6 linked regions of the Oryctolagus cuniculus genome follow. The protein of the gene in region 1 interacts with the protein of each later gene in a pairwise test. Links are inferred from orthologs where the notes say so. Each region holds a gene or a part of one and is shown in the gene's direction. Other genes may lie near its edges. The genes, in order: CCDC136, TCEA2, NEBL, HMG20A, FAM107A and PSMD9.

Region 1 (3,950 bases):
CAGAGCTGCTATTTCCCGCTCACTGGGCTCTTCTGGCCGCAAGGTCTGGAGCAAGTGCAGGAAACACCCCCGACCTGTGTTCACCATTTCTCAGCGCCTCAGGCTGCGGGGGGGGGGGGGGGGACCGAGCCAAGGGGACAGGAGAGGGGCTGGGGAGTAAGGGACTTGCAGGCAACGTTCTTGCTAATGGGCACCGTGGACTGCACAGGATGTCGCCCTCTGCTCACTGCTAAGACAGCATTACCTGTGCTTGACTTGTACACGCGCCTTCTGTGCCTCAGGTACTCTGACCGATGCTGGAGACACAAGGTCTAAGATACTTCCCAACCTTCAAGAAGCTGGGCACACAGGATCCTCGCCCCCCACCACCATGCTGGGAGGCGCAGAGCCCAGAGAGGGCATCCCCTGGGGAGCAGATGAGGCCTTCCACGTGTAGGGCCTGGGAATCCGGGAGGAGGAGGCGCAGGGGTGAATGAAGGCAGACAGCCCTTCTAGGTGCCCCCCCCAACCTGGCGGCGGATATGCAAGAGAAGGGGTCTGTGCGCCTCGGGTTTAGGGATCTCCCACGTTTCTGAGAGGTGACAACTGCCTCGGCAATCCAGCGCCCGCAGCCACTCCCTGAATGCGTGGACGGTTGAATAAGAAGCCCTTTGGGACCCCACTGCTCCCTTCCACTGGAGTGACCATGGCAGACTTCGGCGGGGGCGTGGTTTGCAGCCACTGGGTGTGGGCCGGAGGGAGACAGAGCGGGACGGTGAAGGGGTCTTCGGGCCCGGGGCTGTGGCTGGGTGGGCGTCCAGGGAACACGGAGGGCTCAGGCCCCGCAGTGCTCATGTCCCGGCCTGGCTTCCCCCACGAAGGCGCTTGGAGGGGGTCACCGCGCTGCGGGGATGGGCACCTTGCCCTTCCTCCGCAGTCATTGGGCAGGACCGGGCCCCGACACCGGCCGCAGAGGCGTCCCTGCCACCACAGCAGATGGATGTGGCCGCTCCTTGTCGGGGCAGCTCGTGTCGGAGGGCAAGACCCGAGGCGTGCCGAGGCGCGCTCACCTTCGCAGAGAGCGCGCAGGGAGGGCTTCCGGGAGGCGGCGGCGGCGGCAGCAGCGGGAGGCCTGGCCAGGCCCCGCCCCTCGGTCCGCCCTCTCTCCTCCCCGCGCGCCCATTCGGGTCCCGGCCCGGCGGCTGCGGCTTCGGCTCGGGGAGGCGGCGGCAGCGGCGGGAGCGGCCATGGAGGCGGGCGCCGGGGCCGGCGCGGGAGCCGCGGGCTGGAGCTGCCCGGGCCCAGGTCAGAGCCGTCCTCCCTCCCCTCACCGCCCCTCCTGCCTCCGCTCCTGCGCGCCTGCCTGCAGACCCCGGGCATCCCTGCTCCTCCGCTGCCCACCCCTCCGCCCTCAGCCTTCCTCCCTCCGTCCCCGCGCGTCCCGGGCCCGGTCTCCATCTTTCCGGTACAGCGGCCACATCCTCCCCGGGGGCCCTCCCCTCTTGCCCCTCCAGCTCGCGGGGGCTCCAGCCGCTGCAGCCCCTCCAGTCCTAAAGGCTCCTGGGCGCCCGGCGAGGTGTGACGGGAGGGGCGGGGCGGGGCGGGTAGGGGGCGTCCCCGCCCAGACCCCTTCGTGCGCCTCTGTCGCCGCTTTGCAGTCGCACGGCCGCTCCCCCTTCCTGGCTGCTGCTCTTCCTTGCGTCCCAGCCCCTCTCCTCTCGGTCCCCTCTTCTGAACATACGCCCGCCCTCCTTCTGCCTAGACCAGGACCCCAGCTGGGCTGGGGTCCCCGCGGGGGAGGCTGAGGGAGGGGAGTCGCAGAGCTGAGCTGGCAGGCGCCTCCGCTGGGATTGCAGATCCCAGGGCCCCACCGGCCTGGAAGGCACGTCCGTCCCCTCTCTTCCCCTGCCCCCCACATGGCTTCCTGTCTCCCTGCTCACAGGACCCACAGTAACCACTTTAGGCTCCTATGAGGTGTCCGAGGGCTGTGAGAGGAAGAAGGGCCAGCGCTGGGGGTCCCTGGAGCGGCGAGGGATGCAAGCTATGGAGGGTGAGTTTCCCAAAAGGGCATCTTTCTTTCCGGTCCCTTCTCCTCCCTCCCTGTGACCCCAGAGCTCCGAGCCCGTGCCACAGCCCTGACCTCTGTTTCCCTCAGGCCCCTCCTCCTTTGGGTGGGAACTCCAGTCCTCCCCAGGGCGCTCTGAGGAAAGTTCAAGGTGCATCCCTTTGGGGCCCCGATGGCACAGCTAACCAGGTTGCGTGCCCCTGGGGAGCTGCCAGACAGAGAACCAGGCCTCTGTGGACAGAGCTTTGAAGCAGTCTTTCAGTGGGGGGTTCGTTCTCCCCGCCTGCGACCCAGATCCCAAGCTGTCTCTGGTTTTTAAAAAAGGCAAGGGCATGGGCACCGCCATGCACTTCAAAGCAAAGTCTCGCAGCTGCGGTCCTCCGGGCTCTGGTCGCCTGGAAGAGCCAGGCCAGGAAGGGCAGGTGAGGCCGTCCCCTCCGACGCACGTGGGTGCCCACCCCACCCGTGTGACTGGGCACCGCAGCCAACGCCGGGCCCCTGGAAGAACACGGCTGGTCCAGGTGCCGGGACTCCCTGGGAGGAGTCCCCAGGCCCCTCCGCCTATTCGGTGTGGGCCACCCTGGTCCCCTTAAGAGGGGCAGGTGACACAGGGGTCCCAGCTGAGCCTTAGGCTGCTGCTAAGAGGAAGTAAGAGCAGAGCCTCTGCATTTGAAGACAAAGCAGACAATCACCGTTCAGACAAGATTTTGCTATTTCCAGGAACTGCATTGCAGTGAAAGAGGGGCTGCTCGCCAACCAGGGGCTGGGGACCAGCACCTAACCCCCCCCTGTTGCTATTATTATTATTATTATTTTTTTCCTTTGAAACACATTACAGTGGCAGGCTCACTTTTACACACAGGTGCAAGCTAAGACTTGCCCTGAAAACTCCAGGGGCAAGAGGGGTTATCAAGGGAAGAGGGGCCTCACCCTGCTCAGGTGGGGAGGGGAGGCCCTGTGACAGCCAGGAGGGCCAAGGGAGGAGGGGCCTCACCCTGCTCAGGTGGGGAGGGGAGGCCCCGTGACAGCCAGCCCCAGCAGGGCCAAGCAAGGGGAGCTTGCAGAAAATTCCAAACAGCTGTTTGACAGAATGCGTTTGAAAGGGCCCCCGCGTTTGTCCAGTGAATTTAGAATCATTTCATTCACATGTTTTCTTTCTCTACCTACTGACGGGCAATGTTTGCTTATTATGGAAAGGCTAATTTTACACTAAGCCACCTGAATAATTTAAAAAAAAAAAACTTTCTACAAATCCTCAAACTGTAACTCTGGCCCTGATTGGCCTAAAGGCATGCCTGGTGTCCGAATCTCCTGACCATTCAGCCCTCTCCCCAGAGAACACACTAGAAAAGACTTGGGTGTGCATGTGTGGTTCCCCGGGCTGAGCCAGGAGACTGTTTGCCCACAGGTTGGAGGCAGAGGCCACCAAGCGTGCCGTTGGGCCAGGAGGATCTGGGGGAGGGGAGGGCGAGGTGGCCTCCTGACCTGCCCCTAACACCTAGGGCTCATCAGGCATCCAGGGGACTCCTGGGCACACCGGGCGGCACTGTTACGCCGCTCTGCCCTCTGGAAGGGCCACGCACAGGAGGCTGGCACTGACTCTCTTCTGGGCTGGGCGTCTCTCCCAGGAGAGGTGTTACTGCCAGCTCTCTATGAGGAGGAAGAGGAGGAGGAGGAGGAGGTGGAAGAAGAAGAAGCTGAGCACATGCAGAAGGCTGGCAGCGGAGGCTCCTTGTCCCTGAGCAAGCACCGGGGCCTGAGCCTCACCGAGACTGAGCTGGACGAGCTGAGAGCCCAGGTGCTGCAGCTGGTGGCCGAGCTGGAGGAGACGCGGGAGCTGGTCGGGCAGCATGAGGACGACTCCCTGGAGCTGCAGGGTGAGCGCCTGCCGCGGGCCGGGGGGCCT
Region 2 (3,098 bases), on another chromosome or scaffold:
GGGTCTGTGGCGTGTGCTCCTCCGGAAGCCCCCTGCTCCCGCTGATTTCCACAGGGCTGTGCCCGCTGGGCCGGAGGATGCAGCCTGGGCAGCGGGCGGCCCCACTTTCTCTGTCAGAGGAAGCTGGCCTTGGATGACCCCTGCCTCGTTTTCCACTCAGGCAGCTCCTGATTGCCTAGGCTGCCCTCGCCTCAGACCTAAGCAGGGTGGGTGCCCTGAGAGGATGAGCTCTGACCTGGTGGGGACCACAGGACCCGCCCCCTGTGGCCAGCTGGGCAGACCCCACAGGAACGCCAAACTGGGTGGACAGGGTGGGGTCACGGGCAGCCCATCTCTCTGCAGCCGCAAGAGGCTGGAGCTGCCCAGGACGCCATCCACCCCAAGGATGACCACGTTCCCCCCGGTGCCTGTCACCTGCGATGCTGTGCGCACCAAGTGCCGCGAGATGCTGAGCGCCGCCCTGCAGACGGACGGTGCGTGTCCAGTGAGACAGCCCCGCTGCCCCAGCCCCCGCTCAACATCAGGCAGGGGGGGCCGTCTTGGGGGTCACCAGAGTACTGGCTCCAGGCCAGGGTGCTGTGCGGGCAGAGAACCAGTCGGGGTGCTGGTGGGGTCCTTCCCGCAGGCGACCACGTGGCCATCGGTGTGGACTGTGAGCGTCTGTCAGCCCAGATTGAGGAGTATATCCTTTGTGTGCAGCTGTGGGCCAAGGGGTCTGGCAGAGGCGGGACGCTGGGCCAGGCTCCCCATGGGGGCTCCACTGTCCAGCTGCTTAGTGCCCTTTCTGGGCAGTCACTGGCTTTTGTTGTTTAAGGATTTATTTATTTTAAAGTCAGAGTTATAGAGAGAAGGGGTGGGGTGGGGGGAGAGAGAGGTGGATCTTCCATCTGCTGGTTCCCTCCCCAGATGGCTACAACAGCCAGGGCTGGGTGAGGCCAAAGCCAGGAGTTTCACCTGGACCTCCCCTGTGGGTGCAGGGACCCAGGGACTTGGGCCATGAGCAGGGAGCTGGATAGGAAGTGGAGCAGCTGGGACATGAACTGGCACCCGTATGAGATGCCGGCGTTGCAGGCAGTAGCTTTACCCGCTATGCACCAGCCACTGACTTTTATCTGGGTGGTGGGGTAGCCTTACCCTCGGAGGGCCCTGCCTGCTGGAGGGGTCTGATTCTGGGCGCCCCCGTGGGCTGCCCAGGGCTGGTCAGCCCATCCCACCTGGCTGCCCTGGGTCCTCAGCAGAGCTGAGGTGCACCCTGAACTGGCCTGCAGGTGCCCCTGCCCACCTTCCCTGCGGCCTGCTCTGCCTGGCCCAGCAGCAGACCAGGTGGTGGGGCTGGGCAGGGCACCGCCTCCACGAGGGTCCTTAAGTGCCTGCACGCATCTTCCGGGACGTGGGCAGCACGGACATGAAGTACAAGAACCGCGTGCGCAGCCGCATCTCCAACCTCAAGGATGCCAAGAACCCCGACCTGCGGCGCAACGTGCTGTGTGGTGCCATCGCGCCCCAGCAAATCGCTGTGATGACCTCGGAGGTGAGCCCGTGGGGGGCTGGGGCCGCCCCTGCCAGACTGAGGGCTGAGCACTCGGCCCCTGCCCCCAGGAGATGGCCAGCGACGAGCTGAAGGAGATCCGCAAGGCCATGACCAAGGAGGCCATCCGGGAGCACCAGATGGCCCGCACGGGCGGCACGCCGACGGACCTGTTCACCTGTGGCAAGTGCAGGAAGAAGAACTGCACCTACACGCAGGTGAGCCCCCCGGCCTTGGCCTGGGGGTGCCTTTCCCCCCAGCCTCTGGGTCTCTGACGCCTTGAGGGGTGGTCCCCTTCACGGCCTCACGCTCCCAGTCCAGGATGCCTCCCACTGATGGAGGCAGAGACCGTGTGGCCCCCAAAGACATGAGGAGAGCGGGCAGAGGCCGAGGGTGAGCACAGCTTCTCCACGGGCTCTGGGGCCCGGCATTCACTGGGGTAACACCCCCGGGCCTCCACGAGCACTGGGACCCCTTCCTGCTGGGGTCCTACGACCACCTCCTCGCTTCCCCAGAAGCCCAGCTTTGGAAGGTTGGGGTTGCTGGGCAGCCCAGGGCCCAGGGGCCCAGGCCAGCTGTGGGCCCACCCAGCCCTCCATACAGGTGCAGACCCGCAGCTCTGACGAGCCAATGACCACCTTCGTCGTCTGCAACGAGTGTGGGAACCGCTGGAAGGTAGGTGGGTGGGGCCCAGCCCTGGGCCAGCCTGTCCAGCCCCCCTCCCCGTGTCAGCCCTGGCCCAGCCTGTCCTGCCCCCCCCCCCCCCCAGGGTCTCGAGTCAGCCCTGGGCCAGCCTGTCCAGCCCCCCTCCCCGTGTCAGCCCTGGCCCAGCCTGTCCTGCCCCCCCCCCCCCCAGGGTCTCCCCTGGGCTGACACCACTGAGGGGCTCCTTCTTCCTTGCAGTTCTGCTGAGCTTCTGCCTGTTGCTGCAACCTTGGCTGTGGCCAGTGCTGGCTCTCCTGGGCGTCTCTGGAGACCACAGGAGGCCACATGCCCTGCCCCACCCGCCTACCTGGAGTGCACCTTCCTGCCCCTCCATGTCCTTATTAAATGTCTCTTTGCTGTCCCTGGCTCCTGGTCCTCCTGGGTTGTGTCCAGGTTTCAGCTGGGCCTCTGGTGGCCAGGCAACCCTGTAGGAAACACTTGGGCAGCCCCCCAACATCCTCAGGGCCTTTGGTCCTGGGGTACAGGGCAGCACGACCAAGCTGCACCACTCTGCCCAGTGTGTGCCCCCCTTCCCCTCCAGGACGGCAGTCCCTGTGCTGCCTCCGTGCAAGGGTGGGGTCTCATGGCTCCAGGCCAGTTCCAGCCTCAAGTCACTTTAATGCCCCAGAAACAGGCGGGAGTGTGGTGGTGATGCTGACCTCCAGGCCCAGGGTACTGTGACTGTGACCCCTGCCTAGCACCCGGGTCACCCAGTGTTCTACCCCAGCCTCCAGGGCCAGCTTTTGTTACCTGCGAGGGATCTGTCCATCCCAGACCCAGGCAGAGCCACCCCGACGGCCCCTCCCAGCCTGGAGTCTGGGGCAGTTCCTCTCTAACCCTCCCCAGTGCAGACACAAACAGGAGC
Region 3 (4,131 bases), on another chromosome or scaffold:
TTCTGATTCTCAAATCACAGTGGAAAATTTTTGTTCACATTGTACATTGTGTTTAGTTTCTCTTTCAAAACTTTGGCACGTTAAATCTCAACAGATAATTTTCTCCAGTGCAGTGAAGAGTCAATAAAAGCATGCTACGTGATGGAAAATAAGAAAACAGCTGCCCTTCATGCCTGATGAAGGTGATTCGCCATGGGGAATAGATGTGGCCATGAGTAACCCAAGAATTGTCACTTCACATACAAACCAAGAGGTATGTCTTAGACAGTTTTGTCGAGGTTTTCCCCTATACTTCGAGAGGTTGATAAGAAAAGTTTCTAGAAATTTCTGCTTTCTGTTTACAAAAGTGGTATCACAGGTTTTCTATCAAGTATTGGAATTATCTTGGGCAGAGAACTTGAGGGAAACAATCAGGGTTCGCAATTCTCCCCTTTTATGATAGAAATATAATATATATAAATAATTTCCTTGTATCTGCTATTGTGGCTGTGCAGAGCTGTTATCTTAAAGTTAAGATTTCCATATTCAACATGCTGGAGCAATTTCTTTTTGTCATTTGCTGGTAAGCAGAATATGTGGTGCTATTCATTTAGCCTGTTATCAAAAACTCTTTCACGACAACACCTGCCACTCTTTCACACCATGTATTTTGTTAGAATAGAGCAAAATATTTCCTAAGTAATAAGCAATATTTTACAGAAATGTGTTAGTTTTCTGTGGCAGTGGCTATCATTGAAAAACAAAGATGGATAGATACATTTGATGTAATAAAATGGATAGAATTCATGTTTTAGAAATATTTGGTTAGGCAAACAAAAATGGGGTTTTTGGTTGAGGGTCTTCTCAGAACTTCTCATGGGTCAGTGTGCCATGTGGTTCTCCAAGTGGCAGAGAGAGATTAGTGCCAAGGTGTCCCAAATGTGTTTGTTTAAGAAACCCACTCCCCACCTTAAGTGTTCCTTGGCTCCATGGAATTCTGCCTGGGAAATCATTCCTACTTCATGCTTGTGAGGAATGTTTCTCTTGACAGAATTTTCAGTTTAGGGAGGGCCAAATGCATTTCTAAAAATAAATTGAAAACTATAATCTAAGAAGAAAACAGTATTATCTTTGACTGCTTCAGATGACGTATTATTTTGTATGAAGTTGTATTTTATATAATTAGCTCCATTATTCACCATAGGGTGTTTTTTATGTCCAACATTGGTATGCTGTGGCTGTGTAGATGTTAATGTATCCTAGGACTTTAGTAACCAAATTAATAAATTTAAGTTGTATAGAATCTTGACATTAAAGGATTTTGAGAAATAGATCTTTAATTATATAAATTATGACACATGCCACAATATATATACTGTGATTATTTTTCCAAAGTTTTCCAAGTATGTAGGATGCATTGAAGAATATACAAATAACTAGTAAAATTGTAAAAACTGACAAGATGAGTAGAATGTAAAGAGGATGATGATTATTTTTTGAGATATGGGAGTTTTTGGATTCTTAAATGATACATCAGCATGTTAATTGCTGCTTCTCATGTTTAATAATGTTTACAATTAGTATAACACTCACCAATATAAGATTAACAGTCATAATTAATTCAGGATAGATTCTTTCAAGTGGTACAAAAGGCTTTTCATAATAAATTACTAGCCTTTAATCAGCTCATATAAAGTGGGTAGTTTTTAAGATGAGAGAAATATGTGTATGTCTTATAAAACATTTAATTTAAGTTAGTGAAATGAGTTTGAATGATCCAGAGTCACTGTAACCAATCAGAGTTATGTCTGACATTCCAGTTACAGCTTTATTTAGATGGAGTTGAGGAATCTTTGTGATAACAGGCATTTGACTGTGCTATCTTAAGTGTTACAGCCAAGTAGTTTTCCAAGAATCTTTAAGTCCATTTCAGACTATCTTATGAATGAGTTGAGTCAGTGAAAGATAAATAAATTTCCTCTTTAGAATTTCTTAACCAGTTTAAAGAATGTTGACTTTCAAAATTCATAAAATTGAATTCTGCCCAAGAACACGTTGTTTGTACTTGTGGGGCTAGCCCTGCAGACCTCTGGGATGCTGTCCACTCACTCACACACCACTGAGATAAGGAGAGTGAAGTGCGAGCTAAATAGAGCGGGAACTGGGCAAGGTCATTCCTGCCACAGCGCCTCCTGCACCCAGAGAGCCGGGCTGTGCGGGCCCCAGCAGACACTGCACACGTAGATTTTTAAAATACAGGTGTTTTGAAAGGGTAAAAATGAAAGTCCCTTTAGTGGAGGATGTAAAAGATGAAACTGAAGAGGAAAAAACAGGGGAAGAAGAAAATGAAGAAGACAAGGTGAGTGAGAAAGCAGCTACCCAAGCCTGATATTTGTTCCTGTAAACTGGTAGTGAGAAAAATGTTCTCTTTCCTTTTTTTGAACAGGTGTTCTTTAAGCCTGTTATTGAAGACCTGAGCATGGAATTGGCTAAAAAATGCACCGAACTAATTAGTGATGTAAGTGGCCTAAGTAACTTTTATTTGACATTACATGTGTGGTATATTACCCACCATACACGATTATAGAGAGAGTGTCATTGAGTGGGGGAGACAACCCTGAAACTAGCTCTTAAAACACAACGATTTTCAGATTGTGGAATTAAGTCCAAAAACGGTAAGTGCTTTCTCCAAGGTCACCTATCCAGGGAATTTCTGCTGGAACAGGTCTTCTCCTTCTTCATCTGGAATTCTGTCCCTTAGGAATTTTACTGACAGACTGGCATGGAATCCTAAGGCATTCAATTGTAGAGCATATTCTGTTTGAGAACCTAAGGAATCTGAAATTATTATCATGATGGAATTTGTCTTGAGAGGAACTCTGCTAAATGAATAATTTTAACATTTTGGAGGCCTTTTGATTAATCTGATGAATGCATTCATTTTGCAAGTGAGGAAAATGCGTTTGCTTATATGCATATAGCTTTTGGGTAGCATTTAGGATTTCTGGATTACTGACGTGCATTGTTAAGAACTCTGATACAAATAATGCTGGTGCTGTTAGTGAAAGGAGCATTTTGGGGGGACTTTTTTTTTTTTTTTTTTTTGACAGGCAGAGTGGACAGTGAGAGAAAGAGACAGAGAGAAAGGTCTTCCTTTGCCGTTGGTTCACCCTCCAGTGGCCGCTGCAGCCAGCGCATCGCGCTGATCCGAAGCCAGGAGCCAGGTGCTTCTCCTGGTCTCCCATGCGGGTGCAGGGCCCAAGCACTTGGGCCATCCTCCACTGCACTCCCTGGCCATAGCAGAGAGCTGGCCTGGAAGAGGGGCAACCGGGACAGGATCCGGCGCCCCGACCAGGACTAGAACCCGGTGTGCCGGCGCCGCAAGGCGGAGGATTAGCCTGTTGAGCCGCGGTGCCAGCCTTGGGGGGACTTTTTTCAGTGACTGGGATAGAATTATTTAGCCTATATGTATACGTACACACTTACAGTAAATGTGTAGACTAGGATTCTAGAAGTACAAGGAAAGAAGGTTGCTCCCTAGTGGTGAGGGCTGCCTTGAAAGAGCAAAGATGGCTCCTGGAAAGCAAATGTGTGCGTGTGTCTTCCTTCAGGGAGAGGAGTGCATACAGGTTACTTCTGTTGTTAATGAGCAAGGTGATTGGAACATTTCACAATTGCCTGTTTTCATGGGAAACAGTGGTGGGATGTGGGCTAGCGTGCCGGTGTGCTCTCTGAAGTCAGCCTACCTGAGTGGACTCCATGGTAATGTGGGAAGGTTGTATAACCTGACTGAGCCCAGAGCCTCAAGTGTAACATCCTAATTATAAACTTAAATAATGGTAGCACAACTAGATGCTATCTAAACTATCCAGAACACTGTGATCAAGTATTCCATCTGTAACATCTGCATCCATGCAGTCACCATTTATATAGAACTCTGTGCTGCTTTCTGGTTTATCAGAAAGAGCCAAAGGATGGTGGTGGGCATCATACCCTCCCCGTATATTTGACAAGTGCTGTGGTTAGCATATGCATTGAGTATTTCTACAAAGTAATGGCGTAAGCTGTTAGTAATAGTCATATGCTACTGTACACGGATGTTCTTTGTATACTACAGTGATGCTAGTGAAATGACAAGAATAACAATATCTG
Region 4 (3,500 bases), on another chromosome or scaffold:
CAGACACGCATACCCGGGACAGATGTGGAGCACTCTGCATGTCTAGGGCCTTATTCATCGGAAAATGAAACTTCCTATTCTCTGTGTTGGTGTTTATTGTTGTTGAGATATGTGTGGGGATTGTCATTGTTTGTTTTTTTTACTGTGCTTTGTTTTGTAGCAAAGAAGTAAACGAGGAGGTTGGTCCAAAGGAAGAAAGCGGAAGAAACCTCTTCGAGACAGCAATGCACCCAAATCCCCCCTTACAGGATATGTTCGGTTCATGAATGAACGGCGAGAGCAGCTTCGAGCAAAGAGACCGGAAGTCCCGTTTCCGGAAATCACGAGGATGTTAGGCAACGAATGGAGCAAACTGCCTCCTGAGGAAAAGCAGGTAATGGCTCTTCTCCTCGTCCTTTGCTTGGTATTGATTCTGTCTCAAAATAGCTGTGTCAGAAAAGCAAAGAGGAGCGATGAGTGGTTTGTCTTGCAGTTATGAGGCCTGCATCCCCCATCAGAGTGCCAGGGTTCAATACCCACTTCACCTCCACCTCCTACCTCCAGCTTCCTGCTGATGTGGACCCTGGGAGGCAGTGGTGATGGCCAAGTAACTGGGCTCCTGCCACCCATGGGAGAGACCTGATTGCATTCCTGGCATCATTTGAGAAGTGAACCATTGGATGTGAGAACTCGCTCATGTGCGCTTTCTCCATCTCGCTCCCTCTTTGTCTCTCAAAAAAACAAACAAACAAATAAAAGCAAAGAGGATGGATGGTTGCTTCTCTGATTTTGTTGCAGAGCCTAGGAGACTAAAATAATAGGATCCTTCATAGCTCTTTTCTCTAACAGTGGTTCTTAAACTTCATCACGGTTTGCTGCAGGGATGTGAGCAGGAGGTAGGACTCCCCTCAAATACAGCAGCTCCACTTCCATGAGTGTTTGATTTCTGTGCTAAGAGTTCACATCAGACTGTTTTGCAAAGTTGTTCAATATTAAGAAATTAAGAAATCAGTCAACAGGATTTATTCCACTGAGTTAAACAAAAATTGTGAATTAAATGGGAAGAAGTTCATTTGATAAGATGCTACAGTTCACGTCAGAATTTTGTTTATGGGCCAGCCAGCGTTGTGGCACAGCAGGTGAAGTGGCTACTTGTAATGCCAGCACCCATATCAGAGCACTGTGCAAGTCCTGGCTGCTTGGCTTCTGACCCAGCTTCCTGCTAATGCACCTGGTATTGATGGCCCACGTACTTGAGCCCCTGCCACCTGTGTAAGAATCCCAGATGGAGTTTTAGGCTTCTGGCTTCCAGCTGCGGCCTGGCTCAGTGCTGGCTTTTTTTTTTTTTTTTTTTTTTTTTTTTTCCTTTTTTTTTTTTTTCCTATATTTGGAGCTCACCAACAAATGGAATGTCTCTCTCTTTCCCTGTCTCCCTCTCTCTCTCCCTGCATCTCTCCCTCTGTCTCTGATGTTGCGCCTTTCAAATCAATAAATCTTTTTTTATAAAAAAATATTTTTGTTTCTGAAAAGGATTGTACTGCTTTAAGAATTTTTTTTTAGCTAGAGTTCTGGCAGATTTTACATACTATGGAAAATAAAGCAAGAACTACTTGAATTCTTTCTCATCTAAGACAGAGACTAGCCCTGTTGCCAAACTGAAACAAATCCATTTGTTGAAGAGATTTGAGGGGAATTAAGGACAAGGTAGCCTTGCGCTGGGTGAGATCCCACTGAAGCAGAGTGAGGCTGAAAGTTCCCACCAGCCTCAGCGTCTGAAAGATGTCCTTATTCTTTTATGTCTTAGACTCATAGATCTGTGACTTAACCCTCTTTTTTTTTTATTTTATTTACTTATTTGAGAGGCAGAGTCACAGAGAGAGAGAAAGGCCCTCAATGCTCTGGCTAACCCCCAAACAGCCATTGTAGCCGGAGCCAGGAGCCTCCTCCGGGTCTCCCACGCAGGTGCAGGGGCCCAAACAGTTGCGCCGTCCTCCACCATCTTCCCAGGCCATAGCAGAGAGCTGGATCAGAAGAGGAGCAGCTGGGACCAGTGCTTACACACAGATGCCAGCGCCACAGGCAAAGGCCCAACCCACTACACCACAGCGCCAGCCCTGACTTACCCTGTTTATAAAGAATGTCAGACAGGCCAAAACCAAATTGGAAAATGCTCTCTGGGTAATTAATTGAAGTCAAACACTTGTAAGAGGTTAGATCACATCGCTGTTTGTGGTAATAAGCTAATATAAAGAATATGTATCATGCGTTGTTTTGGCTTTACTGTATAAAGGGGTCAGGAACAGGGACATCCTAGCTAGATTATGATTTTCTCTTTGTTTCATTCAAAATTAATGCATATCCATTGTTTAACTTTGTTCAGACAGTACAGAAATGCCTACATGAAAAAGCAAAAGTGACAGTTTTCTCCAGGGATGACCACTGTTAGTTATGTGGGGAGAGAGTTTTGTGTTTTTGCTCTTTTCACTTTTTCTTTGCAAATAGTTTTAAATGTTCAAGTTACAAACAAAAATAATACAGAGAATATCCGCCCATGCTTTACTCAGATTGAAAGTGACAGACAGATTTGCCTGTTGACACATTTCATCCCATTTCTCCATTTCATTGCACTCATACTTGTACACACCCAATCTCTCTCTCACATGCACACATGCGGTTTTTTCTGAATCACTTGAGGGTAAGTGACATATAATCATGACCCTTTACCCCTGATTATTTCAGTGTATTAGAAATAGTCTCTTATGGAGCCGGCACTGTGGCACAGCTGGTAAAGCCACTGCCTGTGATGCTGGCATCCCATGTGGGCACCAGTTTGCGTCCCGGCTGCTCCACTTCCGATCCAGCTCCCTGCTAATGGCCTGGGAAAAGCAGCAGAGGATGGCCCAAGTACTTGGGCCTCTGCTACCCACATGGGAGACCCAGATGAGGCCACTGCCTCTTGGCTTCAGCCTGGCCCAGCCCCAGCTGTTGTGGCTGTTTTGTGGTGTGAACTAGCAGATGGAAGATCTCTGTCTCTCCTTCTCTCTCTGTACCTCTGCCTTTCAATAAATAAATAAGTCTTTAAAAAAAATTTCTCTCTTAAATTAACTGTAATAAGCAACTAAGTAAGAGCCTTCCTCCTCTGAGGAAGGCTTTTATTTGTTGTCTATTATTGGTATGAAAACAAATAGTTATTATTGCTATGAATCCTTTTTTCCCCAATGTTGTCTGACTTATTGTACATAATGATTTCATTGCTTAAGTGATCCCAGATTTGACTGGTTCACTCTCCTCTGTGTCTGGCTCATATGTGGCACAGAATTGTCAACAGAATTTCTAATTCTGGTTTGTGTTCATTCAGAAGCAGTACGTTCATATTTTCTTATACATAGTTTGATGACTGCACAGCTGAAGACATTAAACAGAATAATCCTGGTAGACCGATGAACCTTGTTTAAATAATTAATAGCACACAGCAACAGAGCATGTAGATAGAGGCTTTCTCGGAGTAGTCTGTTTTTGGA
Region 5 (3,343 bases), on another chromosome or scaffold:
GCTTAAGCACTTGAGTCCCTGCCACCCACCTAAGAGGCAGGGTCCAAGTTGCAGCCAGCCGAGACCCAGTCCTGGCATGGCAGACAAGTGGGGAGTGAATCGGCAGAGGGAAACTCACTCTCTGTGCCTATCACATAAAACCTGGTCTCTGCAGTCAGACAGGCCCGGGTTCAGATCCTCACCCAGGCCCCTTATGGCTGTGGCTCGGAGGAGTGTCCTCAGCTGACCAGCCCCTGTTCCCTTCTCTGTAAAATGGGACAGTAAAGCTTCCACTCCGGGGGCTGCCAGGAGGATGGCATGGCGTCACTCCAAGGTGAAGCCCTGAGCCTGGGGGAGGTGGGAGGGCAGGGGTCTCCTGACGGCCCCCACCCCACCCCCGCAGGGGCCTGGGCGTGGACAGCAAGCCCGAGCTGCAGCGCGTGCTGGAGCACCGGCGGCGGAACCAGCTCATCAAGAAGAAGAAGGAGGAACAGGAGGCCAAGCGGCTGCAGTGCCCCTTCGAGCAGGAGCTGCTGAGACGGCAGCAGAGGCTGAACCAGGTGGGTGGAGAACCCAGCGCCGGCCCCAGCCTCTTCCAGGGCCGCCTCTGGGCCCAGAGAGGGCCTCTTCGTGTGGCCGCAGCTCGTCAGCAGGAGGAGCACTGGACCCGGAGTCCGCCAGCAGCCTGAGCCCTCGCTCTGCCACTCACGGCGCTGTGTGACTTGGAGGAATGGCTTCACCTCTCTGGACCTGAGCTTCGTCCTTGCCCCAGTGTGCCACAAGCCAGTTCTGATTTCACTCTCACATTGCCCTGTGAGCCAGGTGGCACTGCCACCTTGGGGGGGGGGGGACTGAGGCCCAGGTGCAGTCAGCGGTGCTCTGTCCACCCAGGCCCGTTCCGTCTCCCTCCCGAGGACACCCAGACCCCTCGGTTCTGAGACCAGGAATGAATTCTCGCAGCCCCATCCGCTTCACACCGCTGTGTCTCTCTCCTTCAGCTGGAAAAACCCCCGGAGCAGGAGGAAGAGCACGCGCCGGAGTTTATGAAAGTCAGGGAAAACCTGCGGAGGATCGCCACGCTGCCCAGCGAAGAGCGAGCCCTGTAGAGCGGCTGCAGCGCCCGGCAGCCCGGGCCCCCCACCCCGTGCCACGCACACCTGCTCCTGTAGAACAGCCTGGCCCTGGGAAGCTGGCGCCCCCTGAACGCCCAGCCGTTTCCTTCTGAGCACACTCCCCCCCTGCCCCAAAGGGAAGCCATTGCCAGGTGAACCCTCACCAAGGTGCCCCTCCCTGCACAACTGCACAGTGGGTATCGGAGCCCCTCTGGCTGTCAGGCCCGGAAGCAGCCCGGCTCCCTGGTCTCAGAGAACTCACCCACCTGTGGTTTCACCTGTGGCCAGGTGAGAGCAGCTAAGCAGAGCTCAGCTTCCAGGACACCCGCTTTGAAAGCCACCAAGGGCAGTGAGGGAAGGCACTGAGGCAGGGTGCAGCGCCCATGGTGGCAGCAAGCAAGGTAGACACTCACGAAGGGCACTGAGGGTTTGCCAACGCCCCCCACCCCCACCACACCCAAGCTTTGCTCTCCTCCTCTCCCCCGCCCAGTCCGGACCTTGTGAACACACCTAACGATGCGTTTCACACACCTGCTTGTGCGTAGGAGCCACAGGGGCTCATGTTCAGTTACGGCGCCTGATCTGGCGGACGTGGGCCGGGGGCTCCCAGGAAAGGCCGAAGCTGGAGCACCCGGGGTGGACCCTGCCTTGGGGCTTCCCCACCCCACTCCACGGAAGACTGTGGCTCTCTGGCCCAGCGTCTGTGTCGCAGATGTAATGAGTGTTTTCCCCAGGGACAGACGTAATTGCCAATCTGTGTTTCTCACCTGTGCAACTGCACCAATATGCGACTCCAGCCAAAAGCAGCGAAGACTTCACCTTTTCCTCTCGCCTTTGGAGAGCGTGTGCTCCCACCCCCACCCAGCACCTCCAGAGAGAGCTGCCACCCACCACCCAGATGCCCTTTCTCACTCCTATCTGGGTGACCAGCCAGGGACCAAGGGTGGCGTCTCCTTCCTGTGAGCGGTGCCCGCAGAGGTGTAGATGTAGCCATTCTGTCTCTGTGTGTGCATGCTCATATTCACGTTCAACCGAGCTCAAAAAGCTCCTGAACCTGACGCGCTGAGGGTGCGGTGCCGCTGTGTAAACATCAGCCGGATGAGGTTTATGCCGAAGATGCACGATCCCTAAATAAAGGCCACCTGTGCCCCAGAAGTCCCCCTTGGGGGTCTGTGTGTTGTTCGGACGTGTGGAGAGAAGCCAGACTGGGCGTCCGGGAGGAAGCAGGCCATTCCCAGGGAACTCGTGGAATTCCAATGGATGGCCACCAGGGTGCTCCTTGGAGGCAGCATGTCATGGAGAGAAAGTCCCAGAGGTGGAAGGGACCTCAAGCCCCAGGGGAGCCATGGCAGACACCCAGTTCACTCCCCAGTGGGCAGTCCAACTCCATCTCCCTAGCTACTGCCTGCTAGACGCTGTAAATCCAGACTCTCACTATTCCACCTCTTTTGACACTGAAGGTGACCATGTGACCATGTATGGCCAATGAAACTGGAGAGGAAGTCCACAGGGGCTTCTGGGAAAACTCAGGCTTTTCGGATGAAAGAGCCATGGCTAACACCTCCCTCCCTTTCCCTTCCTCCTGCCTTGACTGAGGAAGTGACGCCTGGAGCCACAGCAGACATTTTACCACATGAGGAAAAAAAGCCAAGAGAATCGCAGACATCAACCCTATCGTCCTTGGACCAAGCCAGTGCCAGCAGCTATCCTCCAGAGGTCTTGTAAATAAAAATAAATCACTCTTTGTTGTAAGCCATCGTTGGTCAGTCTCTGTTAACTGTAACCAAAAGCATCCCTATGGACACAGAAGGCCAGACGTGTCTGCCCAGAATTACCTGGAAGATCACACTACAAATTCCGATATCTCGTTCTCATCAGAAACCTATTGGGTTGGAATTGCCCGGCTGTAGGACAGAGGTCTGTCTTTCTACACCTTCTCCTTCTGGCCTGACACAGGCACTTGGGCCTGACTAATGCACACATCATTCAACAAGCACTTGGAGAGTGTTTGCTCTGAGAAGGAAGCCCGCTACATCCCAGGGCGTCACTTAGAACAGAGCCTGCCCACCACCTGGACCCTGCGTCGGTCACCCCCAGCTGGTCTCCCTGTGCTGCCCTTGCCCCAGAGCCCATACCCAGTGTGGCAGCCAAGGTGGTGCTGCAGATCCTGCCGCTCTGCACAGGGCCCTCCACTGGCTCCCAGCGCAGCCCTTCCAGCATCTAGAAGGTCCTACGTTCCCAGCTCCCTAACT
Region 6 (3,926 bases), on another chromosome or scaffold:
AATATTTATTTATTTGAAAATCAGAGTTAGAGAGAGAAGGGAGGGAGGGAGGGAGAGAGAGAGAGAGAGAGAGAATGAATCTTCCCTCCTTTGGTTCACTGCCCAGATGGCCACAATAGCCAGGGCTGGGCCAGGCCAACGCTACAACCCAGGAGCTTCATCTGGGTCTTCCATGTGGGTGGCAGAGGCCCAAGCATGGACTGTCTTCTGCTGCTTTCCTATGTGCATTTGCGGGGAGCTGGATGGGAAATGGAGCAGCTGGGACTGGAACTGGGATGCCAGCATCACAGGTGTGGCTTCATTGGCTATACTGCTATGTTGGCTCCAATTTTGCAACTTTTTAACTTAATTTTTATTATTTTATTTTTAAAAAACTTTGAGGTGTTAATCTACCACCATTCTCTATTTTTTTGTGTATATTTATCCATAGTTTTTATATACTTTTCAAAAAGACTCATTATTTGAAAGGCAGAGTTACAGAGAAGCAGAGGCAGAGAGAGAAAGAGGTTTTTCATCCACTGGTTCACTCCCCAAATGGCTGCAATGGTCGGAGCTGGGCCGGTCCAAAGCCCGGAGCCAGGAGCTTCCTCCAGGTCTCCCACATATGTGCTTGGACCCAAGGACTTGGGCCATTTCCTACTGCTTTCCCAGGCCAAAGCAGAGTGCTGGATCAGAAGTGGAACAGCCAGGACTCGAACCAGTGCCCATATGGGATGCGGCATTTTTACTTGCTATGCCACAGAGCTGGCCCCAATTTTATTTTTAAAGTTTTTTTAATTTATATTTTACATGTGGAGTTGGAGAGATCTTCCATCCATTGGTTCACTCTCCAAATGGCTGAAACAACCAGGGGAGGGCTGCAGTAAGGGGCACAAACTGGAATTCGAACCCAGGACTGTAGAGTTTGTAAAACAGGAGATTAAAAAAAATATGAATTTATGTACATTTCAAGGCTTTTGCAGAAGCGAGGAACCGAATCCAAGCACCGTGGCCCCTTTATCTGGGACATGCGTTTGGTAGGTGCCCGATAAATATTTGTTAAGCAAATGAGTAATGAAAATAAGTCACCCAGGGTGACATCACCCCGTAGCGCTTGTGCGTGCGGGGGCGTGGCTTCCAACGACCCCGCCCCTCGCGTCGCCCCGCGCTCGCGGACGGCTGAGGTGTTTTGGCCCGCGGGCGGAGCCGTAGCCACTCTCTGCCCAGGGTCCCGGGGTGGGGGGCCGCGATGTCGGATAAGGAAGCGATGCCGAGCGGAGGCGCCTCGCAGGCCCGCGCCGACACTATCAGCGACATCCAGGAGCTGATGCGGCGCAAGGAGGAGATTGAGGCGCAGATCAAGGCGAATTACGACGTGCTGGAGGGCGTGAGTGAGGGCTCGGGGCTGCCGGGCGGCGTGGGAGCGCCCCGAGGGCTTGCCGGGACGCTCGGCCGTGGCTGGTTCTCCCACGGCCTCCCTGGGCGGCGGCGCGGGCTGACCGCCCCCTGCGAGGGGCGCGGCGCGGGCGTCTCTCCCGGGGCTGGCCCGGCAGCTCGGTGCCGCCGAGCTCCCCGCGTTGGAGACCAGGAAGCCGATGGCGATCACCGCCGCCTGGGGTCCTGGTGGACGTGGGAGCCGCTGGAACGCCAGTGCGCATGCGGGACGCCTGGGGGCGTGGCTAGAGTGCGGGGCGTGCCGGGGGCGGGGCCTCAGGCGGTGCTCCTACTGCAGGCTCCGTGTGAGATGCCCTGGATGGACAGATCCCTGTGACATGTCCACGGTGGGCAGACCCGTGTGACATGTCCACGGTGGGCAGATCCCTGTGACATGTCCATGATGGGCAGACCCGTGTGACATGTCCATGATGGGCAGACCCGTGTGACATGTCCAGGATGGGCAGATCCCTGTGAGATGTCCACAGTGGTCAGACCTGTGTGACATGTCCATGATGGGCAGACCCGTGTGACATGTCCACGGTGGGCAGATCCTTGTGAGATGTCCACGGTGGTCAGACCTGTGTGACATGTCCAGGATGGGCAGATCCCTGTGACATGTCCACGGTGGTCAGATCCTTGTGACATGTCCAGGATGGGCAGATCCCTGTGACATGTCCACGGTGGGCAGATCCCTGTGACATGTCCAGGATGGGCAGACCCGTGTGAGATGCCCGGGATGGACAGACCCGTGTGAGATGTCCACGGTGGGCAGATCCCTGTGAGATGTCCCAGATGGGCAGACCCGTGTGATATGTCCACGGTGGTCAGATCCCTGTGACATGTCCACGGTGGGCAGACCCGTGTGACATGTCCACTGTGGGCTGACCCGTGTGAGATGTCCAGGATGGGCAGATCCCTGTGACATGTCCACGGTGGGCAGACCCGTGTGACATGTCCACGGTGGGCTGACCCGTGTGAGATGTCCAGGATGGGCAGACCCGTGTGACATGTCCAGGATGGGCAGATCCTTGTGAGATGCCCGGGATGGGCAGATCCCTGTGAGATGCCCGGGATGGGCAGACCCGTGTGAGATGTCCAGGATGGGCAGATCCCTGTGAGATGTCCCGGATGGGCAGATCCATAGGAACAGAAAGTAGTTGCTGGGGTCTGGGGGGAGGGAGTGAGAGTGATTGCTGATGAGGCTTCTTTTTGGGGGTGATGAAGATGTACTAAAATTGAGGGTGAGGGTTGGACGGGTCTGTGAATATTCTGAAAACCACTGAATTGTTCACTTTAGCCTAGTGTTTTGTTTTGTTTTGTTTTGGACAGGCAGAGTGGACAGTGAGAGAGAGAGACAGAGAGAAAGGTCTTCCTTTTGCCGTTGGTTCACCCTCCAATGGCCGCCGCGGCCGGCGCACCGCGCTGATCCGATGGCAGGAGCCAGGTGCTTCTCCTGGTCTCCCATGGGGTGCAGGGCCCAAGCACTTGGGCCATCCTCCACTGCACTCCCGGCCACAGCAGAGAGCTGGCCTGGAAGAGGGGCAACCGGGACAGAATCCGGCGCCCCGACTGGGACTAGAACCCGGTGTGCCAGCGCCGCAAGGTGGAGGATTAGCCTAGTGAGCCGCGGCGCCGGCCTGAATTGTTCACTGCTCAATGGAGCAATTTATGATAAGTGAACAATATCTCAATGAAACTTTCAAAAACGGGGAATCTGTGCTGTGGCCCAGTGGGTTAAGCCACCACTTGTGACACCAGCATGCCATGTCAGAGCTCCAGTTCCAGTCCCGGCTGCTCCACTTCCGATCCAGCTCGCTGCTGTGGCCTGGGAAAGCAGTGGAGGATGGCCTACGTGCTTGGGCCCTGCACCCACGTGGGAGACCCGGAAGAAGCTCCTCACTTCAGTCTGGCCCACCACTGATCATTGGGGCCATCAGGGCCCAGGAGAAAGATGGAAGATCTTTCTCCTCTCTCTCTCCTCTCACTGTAACTCTGACTTTAAAATAAATGTATCTTAAAAAAGAAAAAACTTTCAAAATTGGAACAACTCAGAGACAGCAAGTAATCTGGGATTGTAAAGACTGAATATTGAAGAGAACTGGAAAGAGAATCAATATTTTAATTGTAAAAGGATTTATTATTTATTTGAAAGGCAGAATTTCAGAGAGAGAGAGAGAGACCTTCCATCCACTGGTTCACTCTCCAAATGACTACAACAGCTGGGGCTGGAACTCCATCCAGGTCTCCCCCATGGGTGGCACGGGCACAAGTACTTGGGTACTGGATCAGAGGTGGAACAGCTGGGGTTTGAACTGGTGCTCATATGGGATGTCAGTGTTGCACATGGTGGCTTAACCCAATGCTGGCCCCAGGAATAAATATTTTCTTTATTTTTAAAAGATTTACTTATTTATTTGAAAGTCAGATTTAGAGAAAGAGAGAGATGCAGAGAGCGAGTGAGCTTCCATCCATTGGTCCACTCCCCAAATGGCTGCAATGGCCAGGGCCGA

What was found.
Region 2: the proteins of CCDC136 (region 1) and TCEA2 interact in binary tests that used the Homo sapiens proteins (3 or more experiments, as listed by UniProt). The two-hybrid records come from large-scale screens. The link is inferred for Oryctolagus cuniculus from reciprocal best matches to the Homo sapiens genes CCDC136 and TCEA2.
Region 3: the proteins of CCDC136 (region 1) and NEBL interact in a two-hybrid assay, tested with the Homo sapiens proteins (2 studies listed by BioGRID and IntAct). The two-hybrid records come from large-scale screens. The link is inferred for Oryctolagus cuniculus from reciprocal best matches to the Homo sapiens genes CCDC136 and NEBL.
Region 4: the proteins of CCDC136 (region 1) and HMG20A interact in binary tests that used the Homo sapiens proteins (3 or more experiments, as listed by UniProt). The two-hybrid records come from large-scale screens. The link is inferred for Oryctolagus cuniculus from reciprocal best matches to the Homo sapiens genes CCDC136 and HMG20A.
Region 5: the proteins of CCDC136 (region 1) and FAM107A interact in binary tests that used the Homo sapiens proteins (3 or more experiments, as listed by UniProt). The two-hybrid records come from large-scale screens. The link is inferred for Oryctolagus cuniculus from reciprocal best matches to the Homo sapiens genes CCDC136 and FAM107A.
Region 6: the proteins of CCDC136 (region 1) and PSMD9 interact in binary tests that used the Homo sapiens proteins (3 or more experiments, as listed by UniProt). The two-hybrid records come from large-scale screens. The link is inferred for Oryctolagus cuniculus from reciprocal best matches to the Homo sapiens genes CCDC136 and PSMD9.

What each region holds. Positions count from the first base shown.
Region 1 is NC_091434.1:164,988,742-164,992,691, forward strand, and holds the start of CCDC136 (coiled-coil domain-containing protein 136), read left to right. Parts: upstream 1-1,150; 5' UTR 1,151-1,226; coding exon 1,227-1,284; intron 1,285-1,921; coding exon 1,922-2,029; intron 2,030-3,672; coding exon 3,673-3,921; intron 3,922-3,950. UniProt on the Homo sapiens protein: May play a role in acrosome formation in spermatogenesis and in fertilization.
Region 2 is NC_091442.1:140,122-143,219, reverse strand, and holds the end of TCEA2 (transcription elongation factor A protein 2), read left to right. Parts: intron 1-342; coding exon 343-473; intron 474-625; coding exon 626-682; intron 683-1,376; coding exon 1,377-1,531; intron 1,532-1,599; coding exon 1,600-1,746; intron 1,747-2,119; coding exon 2,120-2,203; intron 2,204-2,431; coding exon 2,432-2,440; 3' UTR 2,441-2,598; downstream 2,599-3,098. UniProt on the Homo sapiens protein: Necessary for efficient RNA polymerase II transcription elongation past template-encoded arresting sites.
Region 3 is NC_091444.1:47,216,688-47,220,818, reverse strand, and holds the start of NEBL (nebulette), read left to right. Parts: upstream 1-1,331; 5' UTR 1,332-2,257; coding exon 2,258-2,338; intron 2,339-2,425; coding exon 2,426-2,497; intron 2,498-4,131. UniProt on the Homo sapiens protein: Binds to actin and plays an important role in the assembly of the Z-disk. May functionally link sarcomeric actin to the desmin intermediate filaments in the heart muscle sarcomeres.
Region 4 is NC_091443.1:108,018,573-108,022,072, forward strand, and holds part of HMG20A (high mobility group protein 20A), read left to right. Parts: intron 1-160; coding exon 161-373; intron 374-3,500. UniProt on the Homo sapiens protein: Plays a role in neuronal differentiation as chromatin-associated protein. Acts as inhibitor of HMG20B. Overcomes the repressive effects of the neuronal silencer REST and induces the activation of neuronal-specific genes.
Region 5 is NC_091441.1:91,452,716-91,456,058, forward strand, and holds the end of FAM107A (actin-associated protein FAM107A), read left to right. Parts: intron 1-382; coding exon 383-539; intron 540-977; coding exon 978-1,085; 3' UTR 1,086-2,843; downstream 2,844-3,343. UniProt on the Homo sapiens protein: Stress-inducible actin-binding protein that plays a role in synaptic and cognitive functions by modulating actin filamentous (F-actin) dynamics. Mediates polymerization of globular actin to F-actin. Also binds to, stabilizes and bundles F-actin.
Region 6 is NC_091452.1:7,179,797-7,183,722, reverse strand, and holds the start of PSMD9 (26S proteasome non-ATPase regulatory subunit 9), read left to right. Parts: upstream 1-1,126; 5' UTR 1,127-1,228; coding exon 1,229-1,366; intron 1,367-3,926. UniProt on the Homo sapiens protein: Acts as a chaperone during the assembly of the 26S proteasome, specifically of the base subcomplex of the PA700/19S regulatory complex (RC).